Schizosaccharomyces pombe: one gene and its partners. The gene in region 3 interacts genetically with the main gene of each other region. Each region holds a gene or a part of one and is shown on either strand. Other genes may lie near its edges. The genes, in order: irc6, oca2, mtl3 and SPOM_SPCC4F11.03C.

Region 1 (4,409 bases), on a different chromosome or scaffold from region 3:
TCTTTGTTAATGTCGCTCGCTTTTGATGCTGGTCTAAAAGCAGTGTTATCCATTATTTGATTTATCATATTTATACTCAAAAAAATTCAAGACAGGAACTTGATATTCAAGCGCTGATGTTCCAATTACTCATTTGTGAAAGTTTAACTTCAGAATCTAGCGGATTTAATAAATACAATCCTAATTCTTCAACAATTGTACTATCAAATATCGTCTAGTATTTTAAATTCATTTTCTGTGCTTTAATAAAAAATCCATATCGTCTACTAGAGGCATATTTTTTTGGTTCTTCTTGCTAAATTAAGCTCGTAAAATTCCTCTATTCGCCATATCTTCTTTGGCGTTTGATCTTCTCAGTAAATTATCACATAAGGTCATTTCCTTTTTATAAAGATAATGTGTAAACAAAGAAATGCGACTTCTAATTTACGTTTCTTTACTAGCCATTAGTTTATAAATAATAAAGCATACTGGACATTGCCTTAAAAATGCACCGAACTGTTGGTCTGCGGTATTTTGATATACAGCAATACATTAGAGCTTTATATTAAATAATACCGTTTCGTTAATATATGCAAGGCCAAAATATATACAAATAAATCGACTTAATTTTTTGCCCGTTGTCAATTACTTGACAGGAAACAATTGTGTATCTTTTTTCACACATCAATGCAATTTAATGGAAGCAATGGAATAGATGAAAGCAGTGTAATTGATTTGACGAGATCACCTTCTCCACCAGTCGAAACTTCTATTTCTTCAACAAATATCATTGATTTGGATGCTATTCCTGATGACAGCTTTCCATCATCTCCTGTTCTAAGTCCTCGAAGAAGGCGTATGAACCGGAGAAGGAATGAACGGTCTCGTAACTTTCCTTCAAATCATTTATCGTATTTGGAAGACATGATTTACTTAGGTCCTCAGGTGTCCACTCGTCGTTCTTCTTCACGTCGAGATTTGATGGGAATGATTGCCAGGACATTTCCTGAGTTTAGTTCTGTTAATTCCTTATCCCCTTCTCTTTTCCAGTTGATTGTGAACCGAATGAGATTTGACGCTATACATCCAGAATGGACTAACGGTTCAGACGACGAATATTTCTCTAACCATTTTGAAGAATCATATGATGATTTTACTTCTTCTTTAGAAAATATAAAACAGTCTTACAAGCCTCCAGGCCCTCCAAAATCTGGATTTACTAGAAGCTTTAACAATGATACATTGATGGTTTGTCCAAGATGTCAGGAACCATTAGGAACATCCAAAAGCAAAGAGAAATCTGCATTATGGGCAACAAAGTGTGGTCACGTCTATTGTGGCTCTTGTGCAAAAGTTTTGAAAACCAGTAAACGATCTCAGTCAAAATGTCTAGTGAATGACTGTGGCCGTTATTTAAATACGAAAAATGCCATGTGGGAATTATTTTATTGACGAACCTTGTACATTGAAAATGTAGTCCATTGTGTTGGATTTATAATGTCTATAATAATGAAATACGACCAAAATTATCACAATTTGTGACTGAGCTTTACTTACGAATTTTTTTTAAGTTGCTAATAGGTCCTCTTTCAATACAGCAGATTTAGATTTTAGTAAAAAATACTTTGATAAAACTTAATTGAACCTTTCTTGCAAACTCAAATAGTTATTATACATCAATTTGTGCTCCAGCGACAACATGTATTCTCCGGATACGAACAAAGGCCTTGTTTCTACAGCGATTCATAATCATTTTCCTCGAATTCATCGCCTAACAATTTTTCTAAAAGATTTAAAGCCTTGGCCTTTTTCTCATTTTTTTCCAGGTCAGCATCTAAATTTCGTTGTTAGTTTAGTCGACTCAAGGAGTTACCAACCTCTAATTTGGTTCATTTCTTTCATCAAATTATCCAGATCCGTCGATTGCATGTCTGGACTTCCTTTGAATCGTTCCGGGAGATAGAAATCTCCGGCATCATCCTTTTCTTCCGAGAAACTTTTATCAACTTGTGACAAGTTCCATTCGCAGCAATCGAGAATTTCTCGAACACGGTCCAGTCCTACTTTCTCTAAAGAGACTTGTTAATAAATAGAAGATTGGTTGACTTTACCATTGAATTCATTCACTCCTTCCTCGCTGATAGAAATATATTCTGGGGTAAACACATCAGGTGGTTCTAGTAATTTTTCATCTGACATGTGCAACCCAATTACCGGAATCTCTAGCTGTAGTTTATCTATAAAATTTTTAAAAAGAGACCACTCAGCTTCATCAAAACTTCGAAAAGTATATACAATGGCACCTAAGCTATCAATAACTTCCTTCGCTTCTTCAGAACTATAAGCATCCAAAGTTTCAGCTAAATTAGAATATTCTTCAATCCAAATACCAACCGAAGCTTCAAAATATTTATTTCTGATATTATACTTATGAATCAAGCCAGAATGATCATTGTTAAATGCCTCGTCATCTAACCCCTTCGGTAAAGAACCCGTCAAAGCTTTTCAATTAGTAATTGCAAATAGAACACTAATATTTACCCTTAATAAAATCTAGCTTTCCAGAATTAGAGCGACCTATAACCAAAATAACTCGCATATGATTTTATGTACTTAGCAAAAATTAATTCGCTTTTTTATATTTTCAATCAGTTCTGTAGAATATTAAACAAGTTTTTGGTGGATAAATAAATTCTCGAAAGACCTAAAGGTAAGGCAAATTGTGATTTTAACTACAGTCTAACAGTTTAATGAAACAAGGATTGAGCAATAGTATAGCGCAGTGTGATACATTCCTAAATCAATAATGGTTTAGTTTATCACTAACGAAGGTTGGTACGTAATTTTACGTGTCCCTAACTCTGTGTTATACGCACACGCATAAATGGCTTTAAATACCAAGACGCACAAAAATTAAAGTTGACGAATTTGTCGTGCTTTGGAGTGACTTAGAATTTTAAATGCAAACAATAGACTACTATATATTAAAAGAAATATGTCGTTCACAAATGCCACGTTTTCGCAAGTGCTGGATGATTTATCAGCTAGATTTATCTTGAATTTACCAGCAGAGGAGCAAAGTAGCGTTGAACGACTTTGTTTTCAAATCGAACAAGCTCATTGGTTTTATGAAGATTTTATACGTGCGCAAAACGATCAGTTGCCATCACTAGGTTTGCGTGTTTTTAGTGCAAAGCTTTTTGCTCACTGTCCTTTATTGTGGAAGTGGAGTAAGGTCCATGAAGAGGCGTTTGATGATTTTTTACGATATAAGACTCGTATTCCTGTCCGCGGAGCTATAATGCTTGATATGTCAATGCAGCAATGCGTACTTGTCAAAGGATGGAAAGCATCATCCGGCTGGGGATTTCCTAAGGGAAAAATTGATAAAGATGAATCTGATGTTGATTGTGCTATTCGTGAAGTATATGAAGAAACAGGCTTTGACTGTTCTAGCCGTATAAATCCTAATGAATTTATTGATATGACTATACGTGGACAAAACGTTCGATTGTATATTATTCCTGGAATATCTTTGGATACAAGATTTGAATCTCGTACAAGAAAAGAAATTAGTAAAATTGAATGGCATAATCTTATGGATCTTCCTACATTCAAAAAAAATAAACCTCAGACCATGAAAAACAAATTTTACATGGTAATCCCATTTTTGGCGCCATTGAAGAAATGGATTAAGAAGAGGAATATTGCCAATAACACTACCAAAGAAAAGAACATTTCCGTTGATGTTGATGCTGATGCTTCTTCCCAACTGCTTTCTCTTTTGAAATCTTCGACAGCACCTTCAGACCTTGCTACTCCGCAACCTTCAACTTTTCCTCAGCCACCAGTTGAATCACATTCTTCTTTTGACATTAAACAGAAAATCTTGCATTTATTAAATGAAGGAAATGAACCTAAATCTCCAATTCAACTTCCTCCTGTGTCGAACCTTCCTCTTAATCCCCCCATTCAAAGCAGCAATTCTCGTTTATCGCATGATAATAACAGTTTCGATCCTTTTGCTTACCTTGGATTGGATCCAAAAAATCCATCTGCTTCTTTTCCAAGAGTTGTTTCTCAAAACAACATGTTAACTAATAAACCTGTGTTGAATAATCACTTTCAGCAGAGTATGTATTCAAATTTACTTAAAGACCAAAATTCTGTTCAGCATTTATTTGCCGCTAGCGACATGCCTTCTCCAATGGAATTGCCCTCGCCAAGTACTGTTTATCATCAAGTTTTTTATCCTCCCACTTCGACTTCCGTTAGTTCCTATGGTTTAGGCAAAACTCCGCAACCAGCATACGGATCTTCTTCTCCCTATGTAAATGGTCATCAGACTCAACAAATTTCTTCTCTTCCTCCTTTTCAATCTCAGACTCAGTTTTTAGCTCGAAATTCCGATAACTCAGGTCAATCAT
Region 2 (9,890 bases), on a different chromosome or scaffold from region 3:
CATTGGAAAAGCATGCAACTGATCCTAACGCTGCATTATTTTACCGGCCCTCATAATGCCTTTTAAAAAGTTTTCGATTTTTTTTCTCTTGGTTCTTTATTTTTGTTTTGCATACTCATACTTCCCTCATCGACTAATTTAATAACAATTTCATTACAACTATATTGTTTTTATGTTTGTATTTTAAACAAATGAATTGCGCCAAACATATAACTTGATAAGCTATACAAAGAGAGAGACTTTGGTAAAAAAGAAACAGATATTATCCACTAAGTATTCGCAATGGGTTTTAGTATTTACACTTACTACTCTCAACATCACTCCAACCTTGACTGAAAACCTTGATTTCATTGATGTGCTATAGGATATTGTAAAATAAAGTAATTAAAAAATTAGCAATTCGCTTTTGGAATTATTAAATGTTTCCTTTATTATTGAATTCTCATATTTCTGCTTGTTTTTATTTAATGTATCGCAGCGTTGGTATGCAAATACATAGTATTTGATCATAAACATATTAACGATACGTTAATTTGCGGTGGATTATACTGTGCTATTTAGGTATACAATTTTTGGTAAAGAAAAAAGTGATCGTGACTGAATGATGAGAATAACTATTCTATTGTAAATAAGAAATGAAATTCGCTTTTCGTTCTCTTGGAAGTATAAGCATGTCGCTTTTACGAATGTTCACGAGTCTCTAATCCTTTCGGTATACTGTAAACAATCTAGTATGTAACGTTTCATCCACCATTTTCAAGTTTTAGAATTAGAAAACCAGTAATACAGGAAATATAAGATGATACTTTTTTCTAAAACAAATAAATATGAAAAATCGACCTTGATGTAAAACGAGAACCTCTTTTAAACAATGCGATTTCCCAATATCCTAGTAATTAGCCCATTTCTGTTCAAAAAAATCAAATGGAAAAAAATAAAGTACTCAATTGTATTGAATAAACTATTTCACCCTCCAAACTAGCCAACATTCAGCCCAAGCAAAAAGTAATGCTTTTTCCCATATCCATATCGCTTGTAGCTTTACATGAAAGATTGGCAATTACGCAGTTTGCAAAATGCTTTTAAGGATACGTCAAGCTGCGAAAAAATTACGTTCCTACTAAGTCCTTATGTAGTTAATACCGCAGTATAAAGATGCGTTATCCATCATTTTTTGGTTATAATTCTACAAGCGGTGAACTCAACTAAACATCAGAATTGTTCATAAGCTAATATGGAAAGGGATAAAGGCGTCGCTCCAATTGTTGTAGAAAATGTTGCATATAATGAACAGGTAAGAAATGATTGCAGAGCTAGATTTTCTTGGTACTAGTTTTTTTAAGGATTTTATAATTGAGTGCTAATGAATCCAAAGGTCGTTTCTTTTGTTCGAAACTTGACTTCTAGTTTTTTCGGGTGCGCAGCTGGTATTTTGGGTTTAACTTCATATGAAGGGCTTGCTCTGTATGTACTCGGTTACTTCTTCGTCTCCTTTCTACTCTTTGCATTGAAAATGCGTGGTAACTTAACTAAGTATTACCAGCCCGGATATAAGTTTTGGATCGCTAAAATATTAGATGGCGCACCTTCTTATGTTTTAACTTGGACATTGTTCTACAGTTTAGTATATGGTAAGAAACTTGCTCGATCGTTGCTATTTTATTTTGTTTGAATAGTCAGATCTCGCATTGAAACAATTACACGCTAACTAAGTCATTAGTTTATGAGTAATGTGTTTAATTTGATTTATGCATTTGGCAATTAATCCAAGATGAACCCTCCTTATTCTTGTTCAGCCCTTTCGTTAATAACACATATACCTCATTAAGATCTATTGTTTGAGAAAAAAGTGGATCTCTTCCTTTTGTTCGTGAACCCATCCTATAAATATTTTGTATTTCCTAATAAAACACAAATCTAACTGTTTTTTTACATTTCTTTACTTTTCCTATAGAAAATAGGATATTTGTTTAAAATATATTTGTCCTGTCAGCGATGCTAGAACATAGCACACACATTCCGTTGTATTCATGTCGTCTTCCTTAAATTTGATTTCGAAAACTTTGCATGAGATATGTTCTACTTCTTTAAGAAATTGTCTCTAGTGCTTAAAAACTAGCTGCTTCAGGGCACATGGATGCCTAGGCATTTATTTTTTGAACACGTGTTTTACCATTATTATACAGTTGAAGTAAACACTGCATATATTCAATATTTGCAACAACTTTGACAACGGTTGAAAAGGACAAAATATCATATTCAAACACGATCTTTGAAAATTTTGAGACTAATGAATTGTATTGTATTATCTAAACTTACTAAAAAATGAAAACCAAATTCAAAGATGCGACAATTTTACATTTATTTTCAAAATTGTAGAGATATTTTTAATCTACCACAGTAGATTTCCCCTATTTACCATATAAATAACTCATAAACAAGCTAACCTCACAAAGACAATAATAATAATATAATAACCAAAGAAAGAAAAAAAAAATCACCAACAATCATAAAGTTGAGCTGATAAAAAAGGGACTGACTATTAAATAGAGGAGATTATAGTAAGAAATTGAAATGTCCCTAATAATCAAAGAATAAAGTATTTTTTAACATAAAAAAAGTCTGAAAAGAAAACTAAGTTACACCGTCAACGATTAAGAGATTAGCTCATTAACAAGCCACCACATTATTCATTTTTTGGTATCGTTTAACAGATCACCAATATCCAAGGCGACTTTGTAAACAAACGTGGGAAAGACAATATAAGTTTTTAATGCTTTGCAGGTGGAGCAGGTGACTCTTCTGAAGCCACCAAATTATGGACATGTGTTGGAGAATGAATAACTTTACCATTTTCCATATGGCACATCGAAATATCATTAATCCAATTGTCTGCAAAGACCCTGTGAATGTCGTAACGCTTAACAGGATCCAACTCCAACATATGAGCTATAACAGCACGAGTTTCTCTTGGTAGTAGGCGCAAAAGTCTCCAGGGTCCATACAACTCTTGTTTATGAGTTGAAGAGTTATCAGTTTTAGAGTTTGGACTATGTGATTCATCGGTTTTTCTAATAGGTTCGCATCCTTGCTCGACTAAGCGCTGTTTTTTTATGTCAGCAAGTATATCACTGGGAGACTCAGCATCATTTGAAGGCTGTTTCATACAAAACAAACGGAAAGAATTGTCTGAAAGCTTGGGATATTTCCAAGGAAAGCGGCGAAGAGCCATACAACAGAAAATAATGGCGGAGGACCAGATATCCACTGCACGAGGATCATATAGTTTCCGGACCAAGGTTTCTGGTGCAAGGTATGGATCCGAACCGACAACACCAGTGGCCTCAACGATATCGGCTTCAAAGGGGTATTTGAAAACGACAGCGCTACCAAAATCAATGATTTTAACAAAGCAATTACTATCCACAACCAAATTATCGAGTTTCAAGTCTCGATGCGCCAAACCCATCGAATGTAAATAGGCAACACCTGAGAGAAGTTGTTTGAAACAACAATAAACTTCAGGCATTGTCATCTTACCACTCATTACGATGGAAAACATATCGTATGGAGCATATTCCATAACTTCATAGAATTTTTTATTTTCCTCAACAATATCAAGGGTCTCAATAATATTGGTATGGTGCAAAGCACTACCAATACAAAACTCAGCAGTAACCTTTCTGGCATATTCACGCTCGGTTTCAGTAGGCCTTCTTGCACGGAATTCTTTGACGGCGAAAATTTTACCATCAGAAGATCGCTTCATAATACGGACAGAACCGCCTGCACCAGAGCCAAGCATTCTTCCAAATTTTCCGTATTTTTTGAAAAGACCGAAATGATCATCTTGGAGGTTAGCGGAAGATTTTGACTTGGAAACAGATGGCTTTTTCTCCTTGTCTGTCTTTTGATGGGATTTGAAAAAGCGACGAAGATCTAAAGAACTATGATGTTTTTCGTGCTTGTCATGCTTATCATGCTTGTCATGATGATTAGGAACAAGAGATTTCAACGATAAACTACCAGAGTGTCCATGATGACCATGCTTTCCATGATGAAGACCCAACTTTCTGAAAATGAACTGTGAAGGGATATCATGTGGATTTGTCTTAATAGGAGCACGGCGGGTGCGTCGATAAGGATCGTTGGGATCGCCGACAAGGTCTTCTGAAGAAGGGTATGCCTGAAAAATGGGGGAGCGATGATGCTGAGTGTTAAAAGAGCCTTCATCAGATTCGCCTTCACCACCACTGCCGCTGTTTTGTGAAAGAGCAGGAGAGGTGTAACCAGTCGAACCTGAAGGTTTAGGACTAGCAGCATGTAAAGCATTTTCAGTACGAGGGGGAAGGACGGTAGAAGAATTAGCAGAGCCATGATAATCATCTTCATCCTCAGAGGTGATAGCGGAAGGGGGAATGGAAATAGGTTCGAAGTGACGTGCAGCAGATGAACGATAACGATCCTCGGCAAGTTTAGGGTCAATGTGATTCTTTATATGGACGGGGGATTGAACTCTGGGAAGAGGATGATTCATATCATCGTCCGTATCAGCGTGCTCAGAAAAGTCGACAGGATGCAAACGCTGAGGAGGGTTACGAGGAGGACTCGTTATTTTTAATTCAGTGTCAAGTTTATTTTCCAGTGAGGAACTGGAATTGTCTGATTTATGATCGCTATCCCCATTAAGGTTAAACTGTACATTGGGAGGGGTGACAGACATGTTCGTAACGGCAATCATGTGCAATTGTAAAATAAAGAAACAAAAGAAATATTCTAGTTCACTGAAGAGCAAACCACCGGTAAGATTAGAGAAAAAAGTGTTTTACAATGAACCAAACAACAAGTGGAAGGTTTGGTAAAAAGGTAAAAAACAGGGAAGAAAAAAGACAGAAAACTTCAGAATACAACAAGGAAAATACAAAAGAGAAACTTGAATGAACTCAAAGGAATGTAGTTGTTAAACTATTTAACAATACAAGTTTTCAAGTACGACACAAAACAATTGCGTAAGAAAGTACGATTCAAAGAGGCAATCTCAAGACGGAGTGAATGGGAACACAAGAAATAAACAAACACGTCAAAGAGAAAGTAGAGAAAAATCAAAGATTTTTGACAGATATTAGTTTGTAACGGAGATACTGTCAGACGAGATGGGAAATTGAGGAAATGTCAAGCGAGTTTTTTTTAAAACAACGGATGACAAGGGAAGAATGAATAAATAAATATATAAATAAATAAATTCCAAGTAAGAAAAGGGTTGAAGAGAGAAAAGAAATAAGTATTTCCTAAGAAGATAACTTTTTTTTGATGGGAAATCGAGCGCTGACAACAACGAATTGGTTATTGTTTATGGAAAATTCTTTGGCGCAACGACAAAGGAATGAGAGATTTCAAGAACAAAAAAAAAAGGAAATAAGGAAGAGGGAAAAAAAACAATACTGGAATTAATTGGGAATGGGGAACCTTTTTATAGGTATATCAGTAGATATTTTCCAAAGGGAGAAATTCAAGGTAAAGTGAGCCGACGAGACGATCCGATCGATCACGACACACAAAGAGGAAAAAAAAGAGGCTTTAAGAAAAGCACACAAAGGAAATAAAAAAAAAGAGAAGATAAAGAAAAAGTGTGAAAACCTTGGGTTCAAATAAAGTATGAAAAATGAGAAATGAATTGAGATTACGAAACAGGAAATTCTATGTATTCATAGAAAATAGAACGTACGTAAAAACAAAACAAAACAAAAAAAACAACAACAAAGAACAAATCAACCCAAAAAGGGAATTCGAAAGAATGTTGATTGAAGGAAGAATACCAAGGGGGAAAGAGAATCACACAATTCACTCACTCACTCACTTTCGGGATACCGATCACACCAAATAACGAAACGGAAGAAGCCGGAAAGAAGGGAGTGGAATAGGAAGGGTGAAGGGACGAATGGCAAATTGAGTAGAAAGAATTCGACTCAATGAGGATGGATGGATGGATGGAAAATTAAGGGAATTGGAAAAAAGCGTAAATGAATAGAAAAGTTGGAAATTGATTTGTTGTTTTTCAGAAGAAATCACAACAATAACAACAATGTTTTGATGGGAAATAAGATCTTTATGCTTTATTCAATCTTTATTTTTTCGTTTACTTTCTCAAAATTCTTTCAATTCCTGTTTTACCCAGAAAAGAAATCAAAGGCAGATAGACCAAAGGGAATCAAAGCAATGCAATGGACAAAAAAAACTTTCGTTTTTCGTATCGTATCGTATGGTTTGATTTGCTTTTGCTTTTGCTTTGTTGAGTCAAAGTTGTTGGACTATGACTGACGGGGGAGTGAAGTAGAGCTTTTTAGTATAATTCAAATCTTACAATGAATTTTTTTATTTGCTAGTTTAAAAAAAAAAAAAAAAGACGACGAGAAACAGGTTCAATTCCTTGATAAAAAGGAATCAATCAATGTGGCTCTCAACAATACTATGAAAAAAAGTGGATGGGAAAAGGCAAAAAGTATTGCGGTGCACGGCAGGTGTATATAATATATGTATACGAAACACGCAGTCTACTACAGCATCTCCCATGTAATCTCGAATGGCCGCTCTACATCAACTGCCGAGTCGCATTGGATGGAGGAGCTAGCAAATCCACACGATCTCCGGGAATCCCACCCATGCAAGTGCCGAAGTATGATGTCACTTTTAGTTCGGCTACAACGTGTTACCTCCGGCGAGCGACTCCACAATCCGTTGCACCGCGCTAAACGCTGAGAGGAAGAACGAAAGGCTAAACGCTAGCAAGCAGGGGGGATGACGTGGGGGAGGGCGAAAGGGAGTTGAGTGAGCGAGACAGGCGGTGTGTGGGGCGAGAGAGGGGAGTAGAGGGGAATAGCGAAGAGGAACGCGACCTCGTTGGGGAGAAGGAGAGCGAAAGAAGGTAGATGGGGGGCGATTGAGAGTCGAAGGAGGAATTGAGATGGGATGAAAGGGAGAGGTTAAAGATGAATAACGTATAAAAAAAGAGATTGTTATAAGAGATAGAGAGATGGAGAGAGCTAAAGAAAAAATTAAAGAGGTGGAAGAGTAGCTAGAGCTAAAGTGTTGAAATTAGCTAAAGTATGAAATTCACTAGAGTGTGGGAAATGTAGATAAGTAAATGATGATTGACATGTTTCATTCAATACTTTGTATCATCATTTGTCAGGAAATTAATTCCGTTGATGTTATCATTTCATCCATCTGCCATGGTCATTGCTTCGTGCGACCGCCAGTCGCTTCCTTTTCCATTGAATTTGGATCCGACCGTTTGGTGGAAATTTGGCAGAGGATCAATCGGAAGGAATGATCGGGTTTATTAAAGTTGAAGGAAAGAAGGGAAAAAAAGTTAAACACAAAATAAAGTAAGGAGGAGGAGGAGGAGGAGGATGAAAAAAAGAAAAGAAAATTTCAGCAACCCAAATCTAAACAAGGGGAGGGGGAAAAAAAGAGCGGCAGTAAGCAAGAGGAATGGGAATTTAATTAAAGAGGAATAGTGATTTGATTAAAGAGGAATAGTGATTTGATTAAAGAGGAATAATAATTTGATTATAAGAAGAATAATAATTTGGTTCAATTCAATTCAGTTTGATTCAACTCTTGTTGCTTCTCACTTGCCTTTCTCTCTCCTGTTTATTGCACACACTATTCCTCGTTTGTCATCTCGCCCATCCAGCATCCTGACAATGACACTAGTACGAGGGAAAGACATTGGAGCATTTCTAGAGCAAAAGCAAAAGCAAATGCAATTACAATTACAATTACAATTTTATTTTATTTTTATTTTTATTATTATTTTATTTTATTTTATTTCGTTTAATTTAATTTAATTTAATTTAATTTAATTCGATTTTATTTATTTTCTTTTAATTTTTCCTTTGTTTCCTTTTCTTTCACGGCCGCCCTACAAAATTTTCTTCTTCCTCATCCAAACAGTCAGACGGCCGAACACAAAACAAGAGCAAATGCTAGATGCTCATGAAAAAGTAAAACTAAACTCGATTGACTTTTGAGACTATATGCACATCAGCCTTTCCTTTTGTTTGTTTTTTTGTTTTTTTTATTCTTTTGTTTTGTTTTTCTTCTCTTTACTTTTCTTACCAGCCCTAAAATTCTGTGGGTTTGTGATATCACTATATTTCGTTATACCACTCTTTTAATGACATCTGTATATCTCGTTATCTTCATCTTTTCAGTGACTTCGCTGTACCTCTTTATATCCCTTTGCTACTTGTTTAGTTAGTTGGTCTAGTTTTTTGTAGCATTCGTTATTAGTAAGATCCTTTTGTGGCTTTGTTTGTACTTTGCTTTGAATCGAACGGTTTTTCCTTTTATTTTTTATTTTTTATTTTTTATTCGCTGGCTATATTGCTTCAAACCATTTCTTACATTCGAATGGTTTTTTTGTTTTTTAAGCATAAAAACATATAACATTCACTCTTTGACTAGAATTCAAAACAATTGCCAACATCTTTTTGATTTTTCTTCTTTTTCTTTTCCAATCCATCAATGTTTCTATCAATGTCTTACAATTCTCTCTCTATCCATCTTTCATCTCATCTTTTTCTTCCTCTTATTACAGACAGACACCTTCTTCGCTCACTCTTTCCTACTCTCTCTCTCTCTCTTCCTTTGGCCGCTCCACGTTTCATTCCATTTACCGGCCTTCCTTATTTCTCGGTAATGGTTTTTCCGATCGTCACGGTATTGCTCTTGTCTCTTTCTTTACCCACCTTGGCGCGCCCTCGGCACTTGACTTGACTTGATTGCCGACAAAGTCAAGGTGTAACATAATGGATCTGCCCCATCAAACTTTTTCCTTCCTCCAATCGTTGGCCTTAAATTTACTTTTCTTCCAATAAGCTTTTCATCTGCGTTTAAACATTTTTGCTTCGGTTGATGCATCTGACGTGCTTGGGTAACACCTTTTGCTCGTTGGAAGATTTTGCACTTGGTTTTCAATTTCCGCTATACTTTTGTTACCGGTCTTTATCATACTTGCACTATACAATATTATCGCAAATATTTAACGTCTCGTTGGTTTCGCCGAAGGACCGCCCCGCGGCTGTCTCGGTTCACTCTCCAACAGTACTCCAGACTGTGGTAACGTGTTTGTATGCAGCGTAGAAGGATTTGTTTATAAGATTTCAATCTTTTTTCTTTTTCTTTTTTTTTTCTTGGTTTTAGAATTTTTATTTTTATATATTTATTGATTAATTGATTTACTTATTGATAGATTGGTTGGTTCATTTTTTTTCTTTCATCTTTTTCCAATCTATATGTATGTGTATATAAATATTTTTTATTTTATTATTTATTTTTTATTTATTTATTTTTTTCATTTCCCTCTATTTATTCACTCCGGATCACTTCCATCCTTATGTTATTTTAAAAAAAAATTTTTTTTTTCTTGTTCTATACTTCTGTTTATTTTCATGTCCTTTTCATTTCGTTCAATTAATTTCATTCCATTTCCTTTTCTAATATTTTTTTTCCTTTGCGATCGCTACCTTTTCCATACATATCTTGTTTTTTCCTCCATAGTATCCACCTTGTAAAACAAAATTCAATTAAATTGAAAAATTAATATTTTTAACAAATTTTTGAAAAGTTCGAAACTGCTGATTTACAATTTTCATCCATTCTTTGCTTTCCATTTTCTCCATTTCTCCTCTACTTGCGACACTTGGAAATCCATGTATAACCGAGTTTAAGGTTATTTAATAAGCGAATGTGTAGTTTTATTAATACAAAGATTGTTGCGCTCTTATAATCAACTATTTGCATAAAATTCATCTCTTTTATTTTTTAATTTATCATAATCTAAATAATGAAACCCCTCAACATGTCTGAGGACTCCTCCTGATTGC
Region 3 (7,736 bases):
GTTGGGAGAATATGTAACGATCGAGATGAAGCAATGTCGTATGTGGATGAGGTAAATGACATGCTTCAAGGTCGTATGTCAAGAGATCAAGAAGATGAAATCCAAGAAGAGTTAGACTCCTTAATTCGAGAGCAGGAGGATGAAAAGGTGAAGGATTTAGAAAAACCAGGCTTTACTCCTTCCACTGGCGTCGATGTGCTGCCTTCGGTGCCTTTGAAAAATGCAATTCCGTCATTGGATGAAAGCTTCCCCAAAGCAGCAAGTGTCTCCAATACTTCAAGTGCTGTAGTTATCGATGAAGAACTTCGAAAAGATCCAGTCCTGGGATAACTATGGATCTGGCTTTGTATTTGTATTTGTTATCGTTTTATTTTTGTTATTTGCTTTTCTCCATCTCATATATTCTCTCATTTCATCTCGTTTTATTAACTTTCTTTAATGCATCAACTTCTACATCCTAATTCCTAATCACGGAACTGCATTCGCTAATACTTTGAACTCAGCTAACTTTAATGAATGATATTTCAACCAATATTAATTATTAATCGATCATTATTGATCGTGTTTTTAATCAATTTATATTAATTACTAATCCAGTGGAATTCTCAGTAAAAAAATATTTTTGTAATTTTGGTCCAAAACATTAATTATCAAAAGAGTCGCTATTTACTAATAATTTGCGACATTAAAATTGCTGAAATAAATTACAAATAAAATCAAAAAAGCCTTCGACGAAAAATTTAAGTAGCAGACCGCCAAGCAAAGATATAAGCCAGGTTTAATAGTAATAAATATAGGTATCAAAACGTTTAATAAACCACAAGATCCGCGTGGTTTCAACCCATTCTGTAGCTTCTTAAAAAAATAAAATAAACAGTTCACGTTATTAAAAGAAGCATTAAAGATTCAAAACTTTAGTGAATCTAATTTTAGACCGAGCGTTTCGGCAAATTAAATAATAACAATCGCAGCAGCTAAAACAACAAATAAACTAAAGAAAATCGATGTCTTGCTATGAGTTGAAGAAGCCCCGGAACTGTCTGTCGATGAACTATCACCAACAATGACCAACAAAATGCTAGTTTGAGTTGACTGAGATGCATAAGTACTAGATCCACTAGAAACAGTTTCCACCGTAACCACATATACAGTTGACCTTTCGTATGTATGGCTTGAAGAAGTTAGAAGTGAAGATGAGCTAGCAGTCAGAATTGGTTTTGAGCTCAAGCTCGATAATGAATGGCTAGATGAATGACTAGAGCTTCTGCTAGAGGTGCTGTTGTGATAAAAAGCTGAAGATACTGGAGCAGAAGAGGATTTAGAAGACGAGGATGATTTATGACTTGACAAAGACGAGGAATGAGATGAAGAGCTCGCGGGACGAGAGCTTGAAGAAGAAGAACTTGTTAACGTAGAAGACGAAGTGCTCGAAGAAGAAGAAACAGTAGAAGAGAAAGAAGAAGATGACTTTGAGGAAGAAGTAGTAGAAGAGAAAGAAGAAGAGGAAGGAGAAGATGATGATGATGAAATAGTTGAAGAGGAAGAAGTAGGAGAAGAAGAGAACGACGACGACGAAGACATAGAAGACGAAGAAAGGGTGGAAGAGAAAGAAGAAGAGGACGACGACGACGATGAAATTGTAGAAGAGGTTGAAGTGGGAGAAGAAGAGGAAGAGGAGGAAGAAGAAATAGTAGAAGAGGTAGATGTGGGAGAAGAAGAAGAGGAGGAGGACGAAGAAATAATGGAAGAAGAAGAAGACGAAGATGAAGCAGTAGAAGAGGAAGAGGAAGAAGACAAGGACGAGGAAGTAGAAGATGATGAAGAAGAAGTAGAAGGAATAGAAGAAGTACTTAATGAAGAGGAAGTAAGTGTCGAACTAGAGGAGGATGAAGGAGAGCTCGATGAAGAAACAACACTTGAGCTAGACAAATAGGAGGAGCTAGTGGAAGTAGGAGCTGCGCTACTAAAGGTTGAAGAAGAGGTGGAGCTCACAGATGGCTGACTTGAAGAAGTGCTTGAACTCAAGGAGGAAAAAGTTGAAGAAGTCAAAGGATCAGAAGATGACAAACTTGATGAAGAAATACTTACTTCAACACTAGTACTGCTTGGTAAAATAGCTGATGATACAGAACTTGGGTCCAGAAGAGAACTGGATTCCGTACTAGAAGGCGTATATTCAGAAGAAGTAGGTGAAAAGAAAGAAGTCGACGAGGGAAGCTGACTAGTTGCGGGATCAGAATAAGAGCTGACCGGAGACGAGTAAGAATTAGTTTCTGAGGGAGTAGCAGATTCAGAAAAGATACTGGGTTCACTAGAGCTAGTGGGTGTCGCATACCCGTAGTAAGTAGGAGTTCCTCCAGTTTCAGCGGCACGACCATAATATCGGATTTCCTGACGCCTTTGTAGTTCCTCTTGAGAATCTCTGCCCTCAAGTTGATTTAAAGATATTTTTGTGAAGCTGGAATTACCATATATTTGATGCACCAAGAAGGCTTGCGTAAAAATGTTCGATATGCAAAATACGCAAATGAGAGAAAACAAAAGTCTCAAACCCATCTTCAGTTTTAAGGATAATAATAAACTAATCTAACTAAACTCGCTGTATTTTACTTCCAAAAGCAGAGCACTTCCGGAAGTTGTATATGTCCCTAAAGTCTTCCGGTATACTGAGAGGGTAACTTCATGACATATGACCTCGGGTGTTTATAGTACTATGAAATTACGTTATTTCAGTTGAGTGTTAGTTTCTTAACATAAAAAAATAAATAATAGAAGTTATTTATCTATATACTAAAATCGTAAAACCAAAATGCGACTTTTCCTTCTGATCAAGGATTTCACAAATAATTTACGGCTTCAAGATATGCGCTGATTTTTCGGATTTCATACACTGTAAACGCGAGATTTGAAAGCAAAAAAAAGTTGTTAGACTTCTCGAACTTTCATAAATAATCGTATACTTTATTATTAAAATCTACCCAATTTATTTTTTTTTGCAAAATCCATTATAAAGACTTAAAACCGACATTACAAAGAGAGTACGACACCTGCTTCTTTCAAAGAATCAATCATTTCTTGATCGAAATAGCGAGTTGTAGAAACATCTTCCACCAGACCTTTTCTACGTCTTGTCTTAATCAGAAAGTCTCTCGCCAAATCAGAGCCACGTGCGGGTTCTAATGGCTTGGGCTTGATAGACTTATCCAGTGGATCACCAGGTACTACCTGCCAATGATCAAATACCATTTGACACATAGCTTGACCCTGAGTATGCACTCGTAAATCTGTTTCAAATCCACAAGAATCAATGACTGGAATAAGTGCTCTCACCAAATATAATGGGGAACCTGGCCGAGGGATATCTTGGAGGACATGACCACGACGACGCGTTAATAAATCATAAATAATAGGAAGACTGTCAGCGGGGGCATGTACTTCAACCATATACACTGGTTCCATTAGCCGTGGAGACGCTGTTAAAAAAGAAGAATAACACACTCTCCTTGCGGTTGGAATAATTTGACCACCTCCTCGATAAATTTGTTCAGGTGCAAGCACTACATCCATCAGGCGAAAATTCACGTTTCGGATTGTCTCATCACATAGAGGACCTTCCCTAGTCCCCCATTGAAAACCTTGTTTAATGTATTCTTTTACGCTATTAAGCACGTTTTTATCAACATCTGTACTAAGAGTATCATCCCGCAATATATTCGTACCACGATCATCGGGACCAAAAGCCCAGATGGAACGTGAAGCTAGTAAGTCCCAATCGTAGTTCTTTTGGAAAAATTCGCTGATTCTTTTTTGAGGCCAATTGATATTAACTTTTCCATTTTCAATGTCATTAGAAATTCCTTTCTCCAATGGCTCAACTACCATTGTGATACGATTTTTTTTATTTGGAGTATCTGAAAAACACTTGATACTTGATGTGTCCACCGCAGTCTCACAGAAACGAGCAACTGGATCGGAAACTCTGATTTCGATTTCAGAGTATAAAGTCCGAAGATCATAAAGTAGACAATCCATATACATCTCACCAGTACCGAAAATAGTATGTTCCCCAGATTCTTCTACTTTTGTGATAGATAGTGGGTAGCTTTTGTTTGTTTTTCGTAGGCCATCAAGTAGTTTTGGTAATTCTGATGGATTGTGTGGCTCTACAGCCACCTTGAAAACACTCTCGGACATGTGAGCAATTGGCCTGAAAATGTAAGGATCATCTTTCAAATTGTCCGAAACGATGGTTGCTGTTTTGCTAATAGAGTTATCAACACCTCCTAAAAGAACTAGCATGCCGGCAACAGCTCCATCAACGTGAAGACGATATCGTGCGCAAGGTACACATATTTCAGCAATATGAGCAACCACCATATCCTCTTCGTCTTCTAAAGAATAATTTTCTCCAAGAACTTTAACTTTCTGACCCTTTTTAACCTGACCACTATATACACGAGCAAATGCATAAAAATTATTAGCATCGACGGTGTTGTAAAGTTTAGTAACATGCATGACTAATGGTGCTGATTCCTCACGACTCATTTCTAAGATAGCCTTGCCGATACTAGAGTTTATAGGCCCAATATATGATTGAGAGGCTTTACGAGCGGCATTTTCTCGAGGCGATGGAATATGTCTAGTAACTGCATTCACAAAACCAACGGGGAATCCAAAAAACGATGCGCAAATTAGTTGCAAGAGTGGTTTAGGATCTAATAAATAATCCTTGGGTTTTAAATAAATTTGGAAAGAAGATAAGTGTTTTTTGAGTTTTTCGGCTTCGTCAGAAATAGTAAGGGTATGTAATTTATACAACGGTTCTAATATGAAATGGACAAAGCTTCTAACGCCAGAGCCATCCAAGGACTGTTTGGCAAATTTTCTGGTTTTCGAATCGAAATAAATATCCCCCCACAATCTTTTAGAAAATAAGTCCACGTCGATACCTCCATGTCTATCTATATAGAGTTTTGCGAAACTAGACAATGTAAAACAATATCCAAGATCACATGAAGCAAAACAAACGTTCCCTAACTCAGGAGAAACGCGATATTTCAAATCTTTACTAATCTGGCAAATGTTATCGTTTACTTCGTCGATAACGTGTCGAAGTTTATGGTAAGCATCATTCGGAGGGAGACGTAGCTCAAGGATTAACCTATCAACTTTGTTCAAGACGAGCACAATTGGCATATCGTGAAGAATCGCATGTTTGATAATTCTAGTGGTGTTAATCATCACCTAAAGCATGTTAGAATCTTTATATCTTCAAAACGCAAGAAAAGGCCAGAATAACTTACACCTTCAATAACATCAACGACTAATACAACACCATCACTTATGGCCATAGGAGCAGCGACTTCATCAACAAAATCGACATGACCAGGCGTATCGATGCACTGAAATGCAAACGTCTTACCCTTCATATCAGAAACTGCGAGCGTAAGTGGAGTACTTTTTATAGACATCACACGTTCTCTTTCAAGATAATGAGTGTCGGTATATCGAAGTGAACGCCTTTTTGGCGGCTTGGTGTCAGGATGGGTATAATAAACGAGTAAATCTAATAAAGCGCTTTTGCCGTGATGCAGATGGCCAGCAACAATAAAAGATCTAACGTCATCTGTCCCAGTTAAGAGACCGAAGAGGAACCTTAAAAAGTTAGAAAAGACATTGTTACACATACTTACTCTTTCTTGTATACAGTATCTGGGACGTTTGTTGTTTCTATAGCAATCCTTTTGTGACGAATTGGCTCAATAATGGGCTGGCTTAAGGGTTGAGTATCCTGTTCCTGAACCATGATATCCACGTTGGACCCATATACCTCTTCAGCGCTAGGATAATATTGTTTATCCTCGTGAAGAACAACGGCATTCTGAGGCTCTAGATGACTCAACGCCATTTCCTCGGCCCTTTCAACGTCTTCTAATTCTTCATCAGGAATGACCTCTTCAAAGGATGGTACCTGTGCAATTGTAGGGCTAGGAGCCTGAGGAAACAGCTCCTCTTCATCTTCTTCATTTTCAGGGCCTATGTAATTTCCAAACCTGGCGAGTTAGAAATAACTATAAAATGTTTTTAGACCACTTACTCATCATATAAATCCTCTTCCATCATCAGTTACTGCCAAGTACCCACAATGCACAACTTTTGGTAATTACCAAATTTGAAGTAAAGTGTAACCAAGTTTTCGAGCTTTAGCGCATTCATGTCTCAACTGCGATTTATATCTCGTTAAGCTTTGATAATGAGCTAGAGAAATCATTGTCTTTATACTCTCTAAACGAGATATGATCGGCTCAGTAACTTCCACTACACTCTTTAAGGTTGCCGAAGAACGACATCGTCTCATTTTGATAGAAAGGAATGAATCGTAATTATTGAAAACCAAATATACTTTTTTATTTACCAACTTCCTCCTTAAAAGTCGTACATGGGTGTAATTGAGACCTTAAAAGACTGGTTATGTCTACGATTTGAGCTACCGACCCATGTTTAGCAGCCAAATTTATAAGCTTTTCGAAGACAATAGTAAGAGTAAATAGCCATTGTAAAAGTGCGGTGCAAACATTTTTAGAGCGCAAGTTTTGCAACTGTACAAAGTATTTAGTGTGTTTATAAAACACACAACAAATTGCTGAATGTCAATAACACTAATAATATACTGGCATCATCAACTAAATTCAAAAAATGTGTTTCCTTTCAAATACAGTCCTAGAATTGTTATTATGTGCAATGTTTACCTCGATTTACGGAACTGGTCAACCCATTTGTGGTCTCCAAATGATAACTCGTAGTACGATTTGATAGCACGATCAAGCATAATTCAAGAAGATGGAAAATATAAATCCACATTATCTTGAATAGAAAGAAACATAGCAATAAAGATCATTATCGTTATGTGCGACCATCGTTGCTCATGAATAAAAATGGGCTGGCAAAAGAAGACAGAGATACAGTTTAGACAATTCATCCAGCATCAGATTTTGGAACCATAAAATTATCATTAAATTGAATAAGAGCCAAATCAAAAAGGACTTAGCTATTTACTCTAATTCAAAATCCAACCAGCAATATCGTACTATAATAGTATTAGTCATCGTTATGACAATATATTGTCTAACGCGCTCTTACATCATACCACTGGATTCTGTAAATAGGGTATGTAATAAATCAGTTTTCGTGGTTTAAGATAGTCCGCATCAATCCAGCTTATGTAAGGAATACACCATGTAAAATTACTATAAAAGGAAACGGCGTCTGACATCCCACACTTACCGGATCCACTATAGTACTTGATCTTGATTTCTAAGAAAAGCGACAAAAGACACAAAAATGAGTAAAACTGCAGCTTCTTCCGCCGTAGATGCTTCACAAGCTGGGACTGTCAAGGTTGGCGACATGGTTGTCAATAGAATGGGATTCGGAGCAATGAGAGTTACCGGTGATGGTATATGGGATGAACCCAAAGACAAAGAGGCTTGCATCGCAACTTTAAAACGTTTGCCTGAACTCAATATTAACTTTATTGATACCGCCGATTCTTACGGCCCTGAGGTCAGCGAGAATCTTTTACGAGAAGCTTTATACCCTTACAAAGGACTTATAATTGCTACCAAGGGTGGCCTTGTTCGTACAGGTCCAAATGAATGGCATCCTTGTGGAGCACCCAAATTTTTACGTCAAGAAGTACTTATGAGCATGCGTCGACTTGGAGTTAAGCAAATTGA
Region 4 (6,495 bases), on a different chromosome or scaffold from region 3:
GGTACAAACATTTCACTCTTTTTAAGGTTCTTCGTGAGTGTTTTCGGTATTTTTATTTACAATTGCTTCGCAAATATTATGAATGTACTTGCGTGCATGCATTGGTGTTTATAACAAAGGCTATACGTTCACCAAAAAAAATTTATTTTACCCTTTTATCGTCTTTAATTTTCGATTTAAAAGTCGAATTATAATTATTATTCTGAAGTTACGGGTTGTCTTTATTTTGTCCCGTTCCTGCTAAAATACCATTTGCACGTAAAAATATATATACATACACTAATTGTACCAAGTATTCGAGATTTTAGCATTGGCCTAAACATAGGAAAAAGACAACGCTTTTCTACTTACTGTCTCAACTCTAGTTTTCATACATAAAGGTGCAGAGCAATACAATCAAATGATACTCACCGGATAAAGACATGCAATTGTTTTTTATAATTACCGTTTATAGGTTTTTTGTTGAATGATCTGGAAATGAATGACTATAGTAATAGATAATAATACATGAAAAAAACATTGACAAATTGAAACAACCACGTTAAACCGATCATACATAGCTGAACTGAAGTCAACTCAACTCATTTTGTCATGGTGAAGTCAAAGTTCTCACCAAACAAGTCATTTATGCTTTCAGTGGTTGGAATGTCTGTAGGAAGATTTAGAGCGTTGTCAAACGTATTAGTTAAATGCGAAGCAAAGCTGCCATCATTACCGAACGCAGCACTGTAGTTTTCTTGTGCTTGCAAGTCAATTCCCATTTGCTGGTTAGGAAACAAAGAAGCCGATCCTGCAGTACTTTTATTTTCAGAAGATGGGGAGCCAAACAAATCCAAATTACGGGAAAGAGCTGAATTGGAAGTACCAAAGTTGTCTTGCGGAGAGGTAGAAGAATTTCCAAATAGATTCGGTAATAAAAACTCACTGGCCTGCAGATGAGCATCTCCCGATGCATCCGTATTCATTCCAAATTGGAAGGAATCGTTGTCTCTTAAATAATTAGAAAAGTTTGAGCCTCCAAATTGCTGAGATGCATCCTTTGTTACGTCTTGATCATTTACAGTTGTCTTAGGTGGCATATTTGGATCTGCTAAAGTCCCATTAGTTGTTTTTGGCATCCTATCAGGAAGCTGGATTGATGATTGTTGGTTCAAGTTACCCAGTAACTGACTTTCGCTTAAAGAAACCTCTCCCGGTTTCGAAATGTTCTCAGAATCAAAAGAGGAAGTGAAAAAGTTATTGCCCGAGGGCAAAGATACATTGCCTTGAAGACTGTTTGCTCCAGGTGGAGTAGCGCTCACGAAAGACGCGAACTGAGATTTCTCCTCTACCTCTTTTGCTTCCAAAGATCTTAAATCGCGCTCAACAACACGTTTTGCTTCAATAATGCGTATTTCTTCCAAATCGCAATAATCCTGGAATTTTTGACATGCCGCCTGCAACTGACTATGGTAAAGAGCATTGGGAACATTAGCCAAAAGGGAACGAAGCAAATACCCTACATTTAAAAATATTTCATCCAGTGCTTCACGAAGGGGCGTATTAGGTTCTTTTACTCCATTGGACTTTTGTTCACCTTCCGCATCCATGGAAGGAATAACAAACAATGGGAGTTCTATGCAATCACAAAGCTGAATAGATCTGAACAACCTTTTAGTTAAATAGGATGTTCAAACTTTTGTGAACCAGCGAACTCTGCCCTAGAATTCGCGTTCGCGTACGTAGCTTGTGTTTGGTGGTGAAGGTTGAGGCTCCTCTATATGTGGTAAGATTTCATAGTTCCTTAACGAGTTTCAACGCAATTCTCTATGCACCGTCTCGTAATCACAGTATAACAAGCAATAGCAAATGTTCATTGAATTCCTAATAGTAGAACGGAAAAGGGGATGCTCATTCGTGTAACCATTCAATATAAATTGAAACGAAGTTGCCTGTTCACACTAGAGCTTTGAAATATCATCTTTAGGAAAGAAGACGCATATTTTACGGAAACGTACAATGCACAAAGTTAGACGTCTTCTTGAAGAGCAAGAGGAAGTGTAGGTTGTTTACGTTTCGATGTGACAAATCTTTGGACATAACGGCTGTCCAACAGCTTGGAGAAAAACATATAGCTAAGGATAAAGTAAAGACAAAATCCTGCAACGATTACATATGCAAGGTGACGGTTAGCCCAAAGGATAATGCCTGCATCGTTATTATGCCATGACGATCCTTCATAAAAGGTGAAATAAGAGTCGTTGGAAAACTTGTAATCCCTTTCAAGTAAAACACGAATGTGGTCGTAAAATGCGGGTGGGTTGGGTAGTTGTCTTTTGTACTTTTCCCAGAGAAAGCTGATTGAAAGGGGACCGGTACTCAACATGATAGTCAAGTAGGGAAGCCAATATGACTTCGCATTTTTTTCGAGGTTTTGAATGATCAGTTCGAAGTATGGATGATGAGGAACACTTCCCATAACATCGTTGGAAACGCCTACAGGGTCGGTCCTGCGAACCCATACGGGATAATAGAGAAGACTATCTAACCGTTGACGACATCCATCGTCCAAATCAATGTAATTTCCTCCATAATGATAAAGAACGAAGTACCGAATAACATCCGCTCGTTGAACATTGAAAGGGTAAGCATCGAAGTATGGCAAAAACCAAGGATAGTTATCAGCAATGAAATTACGAGACATTTCATCAGTCCAAAGGATGTATTCGTAATCTGGGTGTAAATCTATGCAGCTCTGTTGAGCACCTTTCCATCCTTCAGGCACTTCTGTGGTTTTCCAGGTTTGATGAATGATTTTTGGAATAACAGGTTCCCCTGAAATATCGTTCAAGGAATCAAGTTTCAAAGTTGGCAACGGTTCATCTTTGGAAGGAATTGAATCATTAAGAACTTGGCGTAAATATCTTAGTTCTTCGGAAGGAATGATGTCCTTGGTACATCTGTCTGCAAACATCAAGAATTCATTGTTGAAGTAAAGAACGATGGAACTCATCAAGAAAAAGTTGACGGCAGCAAAAACTGCAAATTTATATATGACTTTCACCATCCTAACAGTTTTCTAATATCAACAATGGGTTAACAGCAGAAGGGGCAAAAGTATTTTTAAAAAGATTTAGAAGGTTTGCACTTGCAATCCGAAAAACGATAGAGTGTAATGTATACAGTAATGAATGGAGAGACGAACTTGTTAGCAACGAACTATAGTCCAATTCTAATGGAGACTGTTCTGAAGAAAGAGAAAACGAAAATGGAAATGCTAATCTAAACAACTAGGGAGTAAGTAATCCTTAGAAAGCTTCAAATGCTCGTGACAGTACTAAATGCAATTTTATAAGGATGAATCAAGAAAAACGTTTTGTTTTTCAAAAGAGAAAAACAGAGGAACTTTTTTTTTTACTTTTATGTTTATTCAAAGTGGAAGAAAGATATTACCCTTTCAAGACTTCAGAATAGTAAACAAAGGCTTCAGATGATGCGAAATTTTGAAGTGATTGCTATTATTAAAGGAGTTTTGCTTGATAAAATAATAAATAAAAGCCACTCTGTCTTTGTGTTCAGGCATCACCATGACGATAAAAAAAATCATGCTATTATTTTTTTCGTTTACACTGAATCTTGAAGGCGTCTATATAAAATCATACGAGAAGAAATTGACCAAAACTAACATTTTGTAAACATAAAAAGAGTGATATTTTGAAAGGCTTGATGTAAGGAAAATTTGGTAAATAACAGCCATGTAAAACGGTTTAATCTTTTTTGATGGATCTTTGAAAAAATAAGTTTCCACAATCACAGACTGTAATGTGAATATGATTTCTTAAAGATTTTTAAACTGCGAATTTTTTTTTTGTTGTAGTAAGCGGCGCATTAATCGATTTCAACTGTTGCAGTTGCCTTTAAGAAAGTATTTTAACTTTAAGCCCTTCTCACATTAAAGGAAAGACATACATGCATGCCCGCGTCTCCTTAATCAATACAAGTCGGTTTCCCCACAATTTTTTTTCTCAATACACTTTTTAGATTTCGCACCGAGGTGGCGAAAGAAAACCAGTCATAAAAGGTCCGAGGTTACAGTGTGCATTATTACCAATTTTCCGCTCGTTGCAGAGGAGTGTTTGATAGCTGAGCATTGTTCACTCCTAGGAATCGAGACCTTGGAGAATATCCCTTCGGCTAAGCCATGAATGTTACCACAGTGACTCTGGAGGGTTGTTCGCTTCTTGTTGGTAATGTGCTTTAAGCTTGATTTTTTGCATGTCTGTAAACAATGGAGCAGACAGCTTGATCATCAACAAGGGAAAGGTTTCCACGTTTGCGGTTCCAAGGAGGTTGATTTAAAGTCGATGAATATATGGAGATCGATTTACTCAGTTTTTCGATTAAAAGAATACTCAACCTGAGCGCATTCATTCATATCTACAGTCGATATTTCAGACCTGACACGTTTCTTTGTTATTAAGTCAATTACCATTTTTGTATATTAACGGCTGATTTAGCTAGTAAGCAATCGATAACAATGTCTGTAAAGAAGCCATACAAGCATCCTAATTGCACAAGTGTTATTCACATTAATAGAGTAGCTATTGTTATTGAACAAGAAAAAGGCAAAAAATCAAAGCAAAACTTAATTCCCAGCTGAAAGAGTCAAATATAATAGCCGTATGACTTTTGGTGTTTAAATGAAATTGCAGAATAAAGCCCGTTAGAATCATCGTATATATATATATATATACCTACTAAGAAAAGTGCATGAATGAGCATTTACCATGCATGCATGGAATTAGAATATACTATATTTGTTGTTAAAATAAAAAATAAAGAACTGTGTTATCAAAATCTTGAATGTTTGATTAAAATTTTGCAAAGACCCATTTTAGCAAATGCTATTTTGTGTGTTTACTTTTCACATAACTATTCTTTTTTTCCCTTTAAATGTTTTTATTCCATCATTTGTAATATAAAGACATATAAATCTACTGTTTCTATATCAACTTGACCTATTTTCCTTCTCAGTTTTGCAAATTTGCAACGTTGGTGAATTCAAAGAATTGAGTACGCGAAGATGATGGATTCATTGTGTTTACACTTCCCGGGACTATAAAAATACAGTAAGCATTTACATTTTAAAATTAACTCTAAAAGTACTCGTTTTTGGAGCTTTGAAATTGGACACGTTCTTCTTCTCTTCCCTCTTCATGAGAACACCTCCATTTCGCAATTAATCGAAAAGACAGTTTTTGAAAGATGTTGTTTCCTCTTGGGGTTTTAAAAGTTAACTAACAAGAGGTATCCAAAAGGATAGGACAAGCGTTACTGCAGAATTACTATTCCAGATTTAACCTGCGTATTATGTTTCAACATTAAAAAAAAAGTTCAGCAGAATTAAACAATCGAGTGTGACCTCGTTGTAAGTCTTTAGAAACGATCATCAAGCTTCTTTTCTTTAGACTATATTCACTAGTACATGGATTGACAATCTTGACACTGTACATGAAAATTTCTATCCCAAGCCGTAATTATATGGCTTTAATCGACAAGAATACTTCGTTAACCCCATCATCGGTGTTTCTTGTGTTTCAACCTTTAATGCATTGTTATAAAGTCTTTGATTGGAAAGTTATCACCAGTGTTGCGAACGATGTTAATATATTGTTCTTGTATTAAGCATTTTGCTGCTTCGACCATCGACACACCTCTTCCTTTACTAAATATAAACAACTTCCAGAGTATTTGCCTTCTCTCCATCCTTCATTTCAGCATGACTTTCTTCAAGTCAAGTCTTTGAGCACATATTTCCTTCAGCTCGTACACGTTCTTACAATTGTTTTGTTTGAATATATCCAACACCTCGTTTGCAACAACCGTCGACATGCATCTCCAATGGAAGACCGAAAAGTAAACAAAGCAACATTTTACTTGTTTACCTTTTGTTGCGTCATTATTTGCTCTTTTTAAAATAGCTTTGATACCTCGTTTACCACCGTGGATAAAATTTTGTCTGGCTTATGGATGACCGGAAACTAGTCGTCTCATCTCATTTTCAATGATTCAATTAACAGTTTCCTATAACATTGGATATGGATTTTTGATGGTGCCTTAATGTGTACATCTGACACATCAAGGAGGTACTAAAGTAATGTCCTTTCGGAAAATTTCGTTAGACCAGATATTGGCCTGTTACTCAAAATTTACACAAGTATTAGCGAGCTGAACGAATCCTGCTTTGTTAACTAATTATGTGTTAACGCATGAAACAATGCTGCGCCCATGTGCACGTGACGGTACTCTCCCTTCCCTTTGTTGATGAAGAGCCGAGGAACCCGCCCTCAGCTTTACAAACCTGCCTCCTCCCAACACCATCCCATAGCATACAAATAAGTGGGACTTTCAAGTTAAAACTTGTTCAAAGGTTTCTAACCAGTGTTTTTAATTTTAAATAGAAACACTTTCTTTTCATAAAAAGGTATGTTCTTTTTTATATTGTTTTCGTTAGTA

Evidence for each region.
Region 1: mutations in mtl3 (region 3) and irc6 together harm fitness more than expected from each alone (negative genetic interaction), as found in Schizosaccharomyces pombe (one large-scale study listed by BioGRID).
Region 2: mutations in mtl3 (region 3) and oca2 together harm fitness less than expected from each alone (positive genetic interaction), as found in Schizosaccharomyces pombe (one large-scale study listed by BioGRID).
Region 4: mutations in mtl3 (region 3) and SPOM_SPCC4F11.03C together harm fitness more than expected from each alone (negative genetic interaction), as found in Schizosaccharomyces pombe (one large-scale study listed by BioGRID).

What each region holds. Positions count from the first base shown.
Region 1 is NC_003424.3:2,463,520-2,467,928, reverse strand, and holds irc6 (recombination protein Irc6), read right to left. Parts: upstream 2,705-4,409; 5' UTR 2,582-2,704; coding exon 2,524-2,581; exon of another isoform or gene 2,484-2,523; coding exon 2,094-2,483; exon of another isoform or gene 2,052-2,093; coding exon 1,860-2,051; exon of another isoform or gene 1,817-1,859; coding exon 1,716-1,816; 3' UTR 1,435-1,715; coding exon of another isoform or gene 670-1,434; 3' UTR 501-669; downstream 1-500. Other genes in the region: SUMO-targeted ubiquitin-protein ligase subunit Rfp1, read left to right, coding at 670-1,434; mRNA-decapping complex catalytic subunit Dcp2, read left to right, coding at 2,978-4,409.
Region 2 is NC_003421.2:756,131-766,020, forward strand, and holds oca2 (serine/threonine protein kinase Oca2), read right to left. Parts: upstream 6,495-9,890; 5' UTR 4,724-6,494; coding exon 2,771-4,723; 3' UTR 2,238-2,770; downstream 1-2,237. Other genes in the region: xap5 (splicing factor, xap-5-like protein), read left to right, coding at 1-56; protein Emc6, read left to right, coding at 1,235-1,294, 1,376-1,631, 1,721-1,731. UniProt on the Schizosaccharomyces pombe protein: Overexpression causes cell cycle arrest.
Region 3 is NC_003423.3:4,050,988-4,058,723, reverse strand, and holds mtl3 (protein Mtl3), read right to left. Parts: upstream 2,677-7,736; 5' UTR 2,557-2,676; coding exon 952-2,556; 3' UTR 501-951; downstream 1-500. Other genes in the region: ESCRT III complex subunit Vps20, read left to right, coding at 1-330; GTPase Cwf10, read right to left, coding at 3,028-5,244, 5,304-5,655, 5,694-6,053, 6,098-6,123; SPOM_SPBC215.11C (aldo/keto reductase family protein), read left to right, coding at 7,342-7,736.
Region 4 is NC_003421.2:2,006,151-2,012,645, forward strand, and holds SPOM_SPCC4F11.03C (uncharacterized protein), read right to left. Parts: upstream 1,590-6,495; coding exon 582-1,589; 3' UTR 501-581; downstream 1-500. Other genes in the region: mannosyltransferase Imt2, read right to left, coding at 2,009-3,046; SPOM_SPCC4F11.05 (uncharacterized protein), read left to right, coding at 4,352-4,451, 4,497-4,639.